3 linked regions of the Sus scrofa genome follow. The protein of the gene in region 2 interacts with the protein of the main gene of each other region in a biochemical or structural test. Links are inferred from orthologs where the notes say so. Each region holds a gene or a part of one and is shown on either strand. Other genes may lie near its edges. The genes, in order: CUL1, UBE2M and NAE1.

Region 1 (3,650 bases), on a different chromosome or scaffold from region 2:
AAAATAAAGAAAGGTGTGTAGAAAACCTTACAGAATAGATTTCATAGATTCCTTTCCGTCCTTCGTCGCATTCGCGGCGAACCCAATGTCTATTGAGGTAGGCACAAATCCCATTCAGCACTTTGCTTGAAAATCGGTAATCTTCCCACTGCTGAGTGTAGAACTTCAGTACACTCTCATCCATCAGATCTTCTCCGTCCTAAAAGCAAGAGAACTACAGCTTTAAGATGAAGAGCTTGTCATGTGATAAATTAAAGCTAAACATTCAATGAAACATCCACTGCAGTAACATACACCGAAGGGTATGGTTTTAGATGACTTCTTTAAATGATTCTGTACGGGCTCATTTCTATAAATTCTCCAAAGAATGTAGTTCATGAGAATTAGACTAAAGAGAAGTTTAACAAAAATTCTTTTATCTCAAACTGGAATTTTTCATGGTATTAAATATATAGATTAAAAAAAAAAAAGACTGACCCTTTAGAAGGTGAGGGTAATTCCTTTATATTAACAAGGAAATTACCTCAACCACCCTGATTTTTATTTTTTCTATTAAAAAATTTAAATCTCCAATAAACAACTGAGATCTTAGGGCGAAAACTATTCAATCTTTCAATGCATTTCTGCCTTCATTAAATTTACTTAAAAATTCTAAAAATCTAGAGCTTTTCATTGTAATCTCTTGCATTTTTGTAAAAATAACAATATACAGTATAATGGTACAAATGTTTCTCCTTTAACAAGTCCTCACAAGAAAAACATTCATTTACCAAAATTATTTTCACTGAATTTCTACAACCTAAACAGCAATTTTTTACTTGAAGAAAATGAACCTGAAGCTTCTTCTCAGGAATTAATGACATCTACAAAGTGAAGCCTTACCGTTCAAAAAGGGAGCATTAAATTGCACTGTCAGTAAAATGTGCTGGAGCAGAACACTCCAGGGGAACCTGGGAGGGAGAAGCTTCCTCCAGTGAACTAAGGGCCTGGGGCAGCCCCCAACTTCCCTCAGCCTCAGGGCCTTCAACTAGCAGAACAAAAAGCTCCACAGAACCGAAGGTCCATAAACACACAGTGTACAAGCGATCCAGTGAGCTCCATGAAAACCTGACCATACTTCATACAACCAAATTTTCGTTCATTTAAATTTAAATAAGAAATGAACCCCCACATGTAAAGCTAAGCTCTTCTGGATTATAGTATACGATCTTTTTAAATACAAAAATAGGGAGTTTCCGTTGTGGCGCAGTGGTTAACGAATCCGACTAGGAACCACGGTCCCTGCCCTTGCTCAGTGGGTTAACAACGATCCGGTGTTGCCGTGAGCTGTGGTGTAGGTTGCAGACGCGGCTCGGATCCCGAGTTGCTGTGGCTCTGGCGTAGGCTGGTGGCTACAGCTCCGATTCAACCCCTAGCCTGGGAACCTCCATATGCCGTGAGAGCGGCCCAAGAAATAGCAACAACAAAAAAAAAGACAATACAAAAATAGTATCACTGATAGCATGGCTATCAGTACCCAACATGGTATATCCCTCAGTTCCTCCTGTCTAATACTAAAGATAACTGGAGTTCCTGTCGTGGCTCAGCAGAAACAAATCTGACTAATATCCATGAGGAAACAGGTTCAATCCCTGGCCTCGCTCAGTGGATTAAGGATCTGGCTTTGCTGTGGCTGTGGGGTAGGCTGGCAGCTGTAGCTCCAATTTAACCCCTAGCCTGGGAACTTCCATATGCTGCGGGTGTAGCCCTAAAAAAAGACCAAAAAACAAAAAAACCCTAGAGATAATTGATTCCAGTGTCCACTTAACAAAGTGCTGTGACTCAAAGCAAGAAGGACACAGTGGCCTCAGCAAGGCATTACAAGCACACTGTTTAGAGAACGTGAAAATACTCTTGTTCCTAATTTGTAGTCAGTCAACTATTGTCTGTCAGGATGATGTTAGGTTTCTAGGTACCTTGCAAATATTAAGAAAAACAATTTTGGAGCATGCTGAAGCTGCCTGTTATCTATATAAATCAATAATCTTTAAAATATATACACAGAGAGTGCAGACTTCCCAGGGCAGAGTGCACAGATGTCTTCACACGCTCCACAGTGTGTATAGCACCAGGAAGAGCCACCTGCCCCTCCTGTGTTTAGATGGAAGGTACCACATTGCCTTTGCTACAGAGGATGGAGTCTGAGGAAGAAAAAGGCGGAAGATGAAGGGGAAGAACTCTATCACTGCCCGAGCAAAAGGAAGGAGTGAGCAGTGGCCCATCCTAGCCAAAGGCACAATCACACTGCAGTTCTGACCATACCACATGACCATGTGTAAAGACAAAACCACACCAGAAATGTGATTACCCAAATCTGAATCTTTGCAGTCATTTACATGTCTTGATGCAGAATAGCACGCTGGCTTCAAATTACAACATAGGTAATTTGAATTCATAATTACATGCTTTAAAAAGTTCACCAATATCTAACAGCCAAATACCAAGTGGTTAGTAATTTAAGGACAATACTATATGGCATAGGGCCATCAAAAACTTCCAATTTAACAAATTAAAGAACAGAATATGGCTTACGAAGATTTCATCTTCATAATAAGTAATTGACTAAGCAACAGCAAAGATCTTCAGGCACTTGTCAATGCCAAAATGCCAATGACAGTCAATGCCAAATGACAGTGAAAGACTATATTTAACTTAGAATCACTATTTCATTTTTTAAAAACATTCTATTATAAATGCTCAGTATATATGCAAAACTTCTTACCTTAAGAAGATTTGTCAAGTAATTCTTCAAAAATTCTTTAAGTCGTTTGTATAATTCCAAGCCAACAAACTGAGCTCCTCCAGGCGTCTGTCCTTTTTTTGATTTAGAAGGAGGGACACCAGCACCTCGTGCTTGGTTTGACTGGTGAACACTTGTGCAGTAGTTATAAACATGACTTGGAGAAAAGTCAAGGACATCAACATGTATCATCAATGTCCAACAGTGACTAATGTGACCCTAATTTTACAAGACATTTTAGTATCAATGTTTCCCATGTATCAGCATAAACCTGTTACGCTAGAGTGGAAAAAAGATCGCATTCACACCCCAATAAAGCTAAAACTCAGCCGGCTGAGGAGGAGGACAGAAAGTTCTGGAAGAAGACTGCCAAGAAAACTCTGGATCTCTAGATTACCTAATGCCATTACTTGTGGGAAACTGTCTCGGGAGAGAAGGTAAGAAAAGAACTGGCAAATGGTACAAAGGAAAGTTTGCAAATGAAAAGAAAAAAGCAATTATCTACTTCAGGAAAAACAAAAAGCTATAACCACAGTCTATTATAATGCTTAGCTATATGACTATTTCTAGAATCAAACATGACAAAAATAAACAAAACATGATTTTAAATCATTTGTAAATGAATTTTTTAAAAGTTACACTGAAAATGAAACATGAAAAGCGAGGACATGTCAGGGCAAGAGATCAAATCCTAGACTAGGGCAGAGAAGTCACGGAGGCCCGAAGCTGATGAATCACAAAAGCACACTGGCCACACACTATGGAGAGCAACAGAAATGTGCGTTCTATTTTGTTATAAACTTTAATACTATTTCAGTTTATCTGCATGTACTTTACGTAGACAAAAGTAACAGAAACACCAATACTGAAT
Region 2 (3,681 bases):
GCCGGCCCACGAGCCGGGTCGCCCGCCCGGACCAGCCCTTTCTACGGCGCTCACAGCCTGACAGCACCCGTGGTAACATCCGGAAGTCGGTGAATCCTTCGGCGCTTCCTCCCGCCCCGCCCACCGAGGCACGTTGAACTGTGATTGGAGGGGAGGCTAGCCCCGCCCACAGCACGCACACCTCGAAAGGGCGTAGGGCGCCTCTGCCAAACAGGGGACACGCGCTGGGAGGCCGTGCCCCATGTTCCGTCTCCCGTGTAAATTTTCGCAGTGCTTGCTATTCTCTGCCACAGTACATGTTTTATTCGTTAGTTTACCTAAACCGGAGTCTCTGCGAGCGGGTTCTTCGGTTTGCAAGGGGACACGGAAGGTGCTGGACCCTGCACCCTCTAGGCCTTGCTCAGGCTCTGGCCCTGACCCTGCCTCAGCCTATGACCCGCAGGGGCAAGCACCTTGTTTGACCCACCTTCGCTGCCGTCCGCACGACTGCAGATGGGAATGGCTGGACCACAAATGAAGCGGCCCGCATCTGCCCCACTTAAAGACGGCCGCAGCACCGCCCCCTCCCTGGCTCCGCGGGCGTCCCCGGAAGTGACCACGGGACGGTCTGCACGGACGGAAATGCCCGAGCCTAGCCGAAGCAGCCCGATCCCCAGTCCCACCGAGAGGCAAGGCAGAGGGGCGGCGGCGGCGACGGCTGCTGCGCAGGCGCACAGAGCAGTTCGGGCGGGAAGAGCCGAGGCGGGCAGGCGGCGGAAATATCCGAAGCGGTGGGGCGCCCGAGGCCGTTGCAGACCTCCGCGCCGAAGCCGCCGCTGCCGCGGAAGCCGACACTCCTTCCGTACGCGGCCGCCTCCCCCGAGGCCCTCGCCTCCCCCCTTCCACCTCTAGCCGCAGACGCCCCTCGCGCAGGGAGCGAGGGAGCGCGCCAGCGGCGTAGCCAGAGAAGCCGGCGTCCCCGCAGCAGCTGGCCCTCAGGACACCGAAGTGGGCGAAGGGGAGGAGGGAGCGGCGGGTGGGGCGGGGCCGAGCGGGCCCGAGGACAGCCGAGCGGGCCCGAGCGCTGCCGAGCGAGCCCGAGGCGCCGGGCCAGGCCGGAGCCGACTACGGGAGCCGACGCGGGCCGCGCGGTGGGCGCGGAGCGGCGCGGCAGGCCGGGCGGGTGGCGGCAGCAGCCAAGAAGGCCGCGGCGGCGGGTCCGAGTGGCGGAGGCGGCGCGGGCGGCGGCGGGGGGCCGGGTGGCCGGGGTCCCGGGCCCCGCAGCGGCGGCAGCGGCGGCGGCGGCAGGATGATCAAGCTGTTCTCGCTGAAGCAGCAGAAGAAGGAGGAGGAGTCGGCGGGCGGCACCAAGGGCAGCAGCAAGAAGGCGTCGGCGGCGCAGTTGCGGATCCAGAAGGGTAGGAGGTCGGGGGATGAGGGTGGAGGTCGGAGGTCAGAGCCTGGGTGAGGGTGATGTGGTCGCCAGGGGGGTCAGAGATGTCGGAAATGGGGTTGCGGATGTGGGGATTGGAGATCGGGGCCCTGGGGGTGGGGGTTGGGGGTAATACAGTCATTGGAGGGGTCAGAGATGGGAGGCCTAGGATGGGGCGTTTAGGGAATTCCGAATGCCAGGCGTTTGATACTAGGAACCGGGAATCTGAGGGTCACGCAGTGGAGGGGGAGGACCAGGGATTCGAGAGTCTGGGGATCAGACGGGAACCTGGATGACAGGCAGAGGAGATACAGATAGCGGGGGCCGGGATTGAGGAATGGAGTGAGAGACAGTGTTTTATGCTGGAGCCATTAGGAATCAAGAGTCAGACGTGGTGAAGTAGGTTAGAGTCCTGGCATTCCTGGGTCAGGGGGCAGTCACATGGCAGTTTGGCTTTGGGGTGACACGAGGAGGAGAGGGATAGTGTGTGCCAGAGATTAGAGAAAGAGAAAGGTTGAGTTTAAACGATCACGCTGGAGATGCAGGTAATCTTATAGTCAGAGTGGTGTGGGTAGGAGGGCTGGGGACCCATAGATCTGAGGGTCAGGTGGGTACTTGGGTTTGGGATGACAAGCAGAGATGTAGATGAACGGTGGGGCTGGGGATTGGTGGAGGGAGTGATTTAGGGGGTGGGGAGGAATAAGTTCCTTGAGTGGGGACTCCTTTAGAAAGTGGAGGTTATGGCCAGGGATCCTGGGTGTGGGGTAGTCAGGGGCTTGATGGGGCATTTGGGAGTTGGGTTGGAGGGACCCAGGTGCTGGGACCTGGGACTTAGGGCTGTGGATTCAGAAACACTGGAGCTTACCCTAGGCAAGAAGCTCAGGTACAGCCACGATTAAACATGCAAGTTTGCAGTGTGTTCTGTAGATCCACAAGACCCTACCTGGGGATTGGGGAGCAGAAAGAGCAGGGAGGGGGTTGGGGATGTGGCCCACCGCCCAGGAGAGGCCCCTTCGAGCCCTGGCGGAGGCGGTGGGAGCTCTGCTGACGCCAGCCCCTTTTCTGAGCACCTTCCTTTCTATTTCCTTTCTCTGCTGTGTAAACCCAGACATAAACGAGCTGAATCTGCCCAAGACGTGTGACATCAGTTTTTCAGATCCAGACGACCTCCTCAACTTCAAGCTGGTTATCTGTCCTGATGAGGTGAGGGCACCCTTCACTGCGTTTCCTCAGGTGGGAATACCTGGTTCACCTGCCAGGCCCTGCAGGATGGGGTGATGGGGTCCTACTTCCTCTTCTCTTCCCTCACAGGGCTTCTACAAGAGCGGGAAGTTTGTGTTCAGTTTTAAGGTGAGTCCCAGGTGGACAGGGGTGGCTCCTTGGGCTGAGAAGGCAGCAGCGGAGGCTCCAGCCAGACACTGCTGGGGCATTATCCACCTCCCCTCTCTCTTCCTGGAGCCAGGTGGGCCAGGGTTACCCGCATGACCCCCCCAAGGTGAAGTGTGAGACGATGGTTTATCACCCCAACATTGACCTCGAGGGCAACGTCTGCCTCAACATCCTCAGGTGAGGGCACTAGCCCTCCGCTGCTCTCCAGCCCTGCCCGCCAGGCCCCCTTCATGGCCTTGCACTGCACCTGTCTCTGCCCCTTCACTCCCCCTTGTGGTCTCTGTCCCTGTCTCTTCATCTCCTCCTCATGGCTTGACCTTGGCTTTCTCCCTGGCCTGTCCTCTGCACCCTCCCACTAGCTTCTCACATTCACACTGTCCCATGCCCTGGGCTTGACCTGTCCAGTCCCAGCAGGGTCTGTGGCAGCTGCCCACTCACCAGCCCTTGACCATGATGCTGTCTGCCCACAGAGAGGACTGGAAGCCAGTCCTTACGATAAACTCCATAATTTATGGCCTGCAGTATCTCTTCTTGGTGAGTAGAGTTGGGGGCTGGGGCTGGGGAAGGTTGGCCCTCTGCTCCTTGGGCTTGTTGACCCCCCACCGCTGCTGGCCACAGGAGCCCAACCCTGAAGACCCACTGAACAAGGAGGCCGCCGAGGTCCTGCAGAACAACCGGAGGCTGTTTGAGCAGAACGTGCAGCGCTCCATGCGGGGTGGCTATATCGGCTCCACCTACTTCGAGCGCTGCCTGAAATAGGGTTGGCGCCTACCCACCCCTGCCGGGGTCACTAGCCCGGGCATCCCCTGCAGATATTTATTGGGGGCCACAGGTGGGGGGGGCATGGGAGAGCCGGTGGGGGAATCCCATGCCCTGGCCTG
Region 3 (3,650 bases), about 36 Mb from region 2:
ACAAAAAATAAAATAAAATACTAGGCAGTGTGTTATGTGATTTTCATACATCATGTAGCTAACCCTCACAAATCTAATAGAACAGGAATTCCCATCGTGGCTCAGTGGTTAACGAATCCAACTAGGAACCATGAGGTTTCGGGTTCGATCCCTGGCTTCGCTCAGTGGGTTAAGAATCTGGCATTGCCATGAGCTGTGGTGTAGGTCACAGATGTGGCTTGGATCTGGCATTGCTGTGGCTGTGGCATAGGCTGGCGGCTACAGCTCCAATTAGACCCCTAGCCTGGGACCCTCCATATGCCACAGGTGCGGCCCTAGAAAAGACAAAAACAAAACAAAACAAAAACAAATCGAATAGAGCAGATACTATTAGCATCATATCATACTGAAAGAACTGAGACTTGGAGGGAAATAGTGACTCAATAAAGATCAATAGATTCAACTGATAGAATGTGGATTTGAATCTAGGTTTAATTCCAAAGCCTGTGTTCTATGTAACAGCTAATTTCCCAAGGTGGCTCCACCATGAACACCTCTTCATGCCCTCATGTAGTCCCTTTCACTGTTTTTCTAAATTAATGTGTAGTTGATTTACAATGCTGTGCCATCCCCTTTCACTCTTAAGGTCTAACGTGGACCTATGAAGCCAACAGAACATGGCATAAGTGCTGCTGTGTGACTTCCAAGGCCAAGTCATAAAAAGCCTTGTACCTTCCACCTGGGTCTTTGGAATGTTAACTCTGGGGAAGGCAGCTACTATGTAAGAAATCTAGGACTGCCAGGCTAGAAAGGAAGCCTCAGCTGACCATATGAAGAGATGCCAGCAGCTGCAGATATCCCAACTAAAGTGCCACACATGTGAGTATGCTTTCTTGGATGTCTATCTCAGTCAAGCTTTCAGAATGACTCCAGCCACAGGTCATTCCATGAGATCCCTTTCCCCCCATGAGAACTGCCTAACAGAACCCAGCCAATCCACACACAAGACAGAATAATTGATTGTTCTAAACTACTAAGTTTGGGGGTGGTTTGCTATGTAAGAGATAACCAAAAATACACCTTCACCAAACAAAACAAATAAAGCAACATATATTTGGTATTTATTCCTTTTCCTTTTTCTGGTAAGCTTGCTCATTAAGATTATAACTCAGAGGTTCCCGTCGTGGCGCAGTGGTTAACGAATCCGACTAGGAACCATGAGGTTTCGGGTTCGGTCCCTGCCCTTGCTCAGTGGGTTAACGATCCGGCGTTGCCGTGAGCTGTGGTATAGGTTGCAGACACGGCTCGGATCCCGCATTGCTGTGGCTCTGGCGTAGGCCGGTGGCTACAGCTCCGATTCGATCCCTAGCCCGGGAACCTCCATATGCCCTGGAGCGGCCCAAAGAAATAGTAAAAAGACAAAAAAAAAAAAAATTATAACTCAGTGGGTATACTACATCAGTTTAGGCAACAGGTTTCATTTTTTAATTTTTTTATTTTTTAGGACCACATTTGCAGCATGTAGAAGTTCCCAGACTAGGGGTCGAATCGGGAGATAGAGCTGCCTGTCTATACCACAGCCGCAGCAACACCAGATCCGAGCTGCATCTGCAGCCTACACTGAAGCTTGCAGCAACACCAGATCCTTAACCCACTGAATGAGACCAGGGAGTGAACCTGAATCCTCATGGATGCTAGTCAGGTTCTTAACCTGCTGAGCCATGACAGGAACTCAGGGCAAGAGGTTTTATGATACAGCTAGAATGTCCTGATATACAACAATCTGAACAATTAAAACTATCACCTTAGGGAGTCCCCATCGTGGCTCAATGGTTAACGAATCTGACTAGGAACCATGAGGTTTTGGGTTCGATCCTGGCCTTGTTCTGTGGGTTAAGGATCCGGTGTTGCTGTGAGCTGTGGTGTAGGTCGCAGATGTGGCTCAGCTCTTGCGTTGCTGTGGCTCTGGCGTAGGCTGGCAGCTACAGCTCTGATTAGACCTCTAGCCTGGGAACCTCCATATGTCACGGGTGTGCCCTAAAAAAGAAAAAAAAAAAAAAAATTATCATCTTAATAAAGACATTCTAGGCAACTGAAGATCTTTGAACATACGCCAAGTCCCCAATTACCACATTTACAGATAACAAAAAACAGATAATAAGCAAAGAAACATCTTTGGAGTTCTCAGTTCATAACTCACTGGCATACTTCCTATGCTCTTCCACTCCACTAAATCAAACTCAGTGTGAGTCTTGGAAGAAAACTGTAGAAGCTGACAGGAAAAAAGGCTTTATTCTACACACATTCAACCAACATTTCTGAACTCTGTAACAGTTCAGAATTAAAAAATATTTGCAACTGGCTACACTTAAAACACAGACAGTTTAAAAAAAAAAAAAAAAGTGGAAAAAAAAGAAATGAAACAAATAGTATTGCCTCACTGAGATGAACCAGGTAGTAAATTGACTACAGCATGAATTCAAGCATCACTACCGTAAACACCTTAAGAACACTTTAAGATTTCATTCCATTCAAGTATTTATTTACGATTTTATTGTATTTGATAAGTGTATTGCTTTTCTTACCTGGGTATCTACCATGCTGTTTATGAAATCTATCAACAGCCCGTAACATTAAGTATAATACTATCTCACTATCTGGATTGTCCATGCTGGAAACTGAAAGGAAAAAAGAATCTCAGTAGCATCTGGATAATTCATGACATAAAAACAAAATGACTGAATTTACTATATACTCAGGTTTTAGAATACAAGGCAATTCTATCACAAAATTTAAATATGTTGTGATGGTAAAATAGAAAATGATAAATAACAGTAAAACAAAGGGAGAAAAATTACTAAGATGAAACCCAATGGCCTTCTGAACTATTAGCTATGGTCATAAAATCTTTACTAAAGTAGTAACATGCTGACTTTAGCTCTTCTACATATCACACAACTTAATGACCTAAATATGATTTTATGTATATATTAAGTTTCATATTTTGAAATGATGACCACTTGGATTGGTTTATAGAATAAAAATCACAGTATAAGTATTTACATTATCCTTTATATTATCACCATTCAATTATACACAAAATATTTACACCCTTAAAATTAATTACTAACCTAGCATCAAAAGGTTATTACTTACTAATTTCATCCTTGTTAACTGTATCCAAGCCATATTCTTCAGCTAAGGACCGACATCTTACCACTCGAAGAAATGCGGAATTGCTGCCTGAATACAGGAAAGACATTATGGAAGTAAATGGTCAAGACACATAAATATCCTGAATCACAAATCACTTAAAGAACAGGAACTTTTGGGAGTTCCCATCGTGGCACAGTGGTTAATGAATCCAACTAGGAACCATGAGGTTGTGGGTTCAATCCCTGGCCTTGCTCAGTGGGCTAAGGATCCAGTGTTGCCATGAGCTGTGGTGTGGGTCGCAGATCTCGAGTTGCTGTGGCTCTGGTGTAGGCTGGTGGCTACGGCTCCAATTAGACCCCTAGCCTGGGATCCTCCATATGCCACGGGAGCGGAACTTTTATGTATGTCTTTACAGACAGGGAAATATGAATAAGTGTCTTCTATTTGGTTCTAATGGTTAGCAGAGAAGGCTTTGAACACAAGTCATCTTAAATCCATGTCCTTGACACTACAAC

What was found.
Region 1: of the proteins of UBE2M (region 2) and CUL1, one has a biochemical effect on the other in vitro, tested with the Homo sapiens proteins (7 studies listed by BioGRID). The link is inferred for Sus scrofa from reciprocal best matches to the Homo sapiens genes UBE2M and CUL1.
Region 3: of the proteins of UBE2M (region 2) and NAE1, one has a biochemical effect on the other in vitro, tested with the Homo sapiens proteins (4 studies listed by BioGRID, with this or other methods). The link is inferred for Sus scrofa from reciprocal best matches to the Homo sapiens genes UBE2M and NAE1.

What each region holds. Positions count from the first base shown.
Region 1 is NC_010451.4:109,503,480-109,507,129, forward strand, and holds part of CUL1 (cullin-1), read right to left. Parts: intron 2,937-3,650; coding exon 2,762-2,936; intron 200-2,761; coding exon 32-199; intron 1-31. UniProt on the Homo sapiens protein: Core component of multiple cullin-RING-based SCF (SKP1-CUL1-F-box protein) E3 ubiquitin-protein ligase complexes, which mediate the ubiquitination of proteins involved in cell cycle progression, signal transduction and transcription.
Region 2 is NC_010448.4:63,105,787-63,109,467, reverse strand, and holds the start of UBE2M (NEDD8-conjugating enzyme Ubc12), read left to right. Parts: upstream 1-852; 5' UTR 853-1,288; coding exon 1,289-1,397; intron 1,398-2,519; coding exon 2,520-2,614; intron 2,615-2,722; coding exon 2,723-2,761; intron 2,762-2,873; coding exon 2,874-2,977; intron 2,978-3,270; coding exon 3,271-3,334; intron 3,335-3,418; coding exon 3,419-3,559; 3' UTR 3,560-3,681.
Region 3 is NC_010448.4:27,516,014-27,519,663, forward strand, and holds part of NAE1 (NEDD8-activating enzyme E1 regulatory subunit), read right to left. Parts: intron 3,223-3,650; coding exon 3,136-3,222; intron 2,658-3,135; coding exon 2,565-2,657; intron 1-2,564. UniProt on the Homo sapiens protein: Regulatory subunit of the dimeric UBA3-NAE1 E1 enzyme. E1 activates NEDD8 by first adenylating its C-terminal glycine residue with ATP, thereafter linking this residue to the side chain of the catalytic cysteine, yielding a NEDD8-UBA3 thioester and free AMP.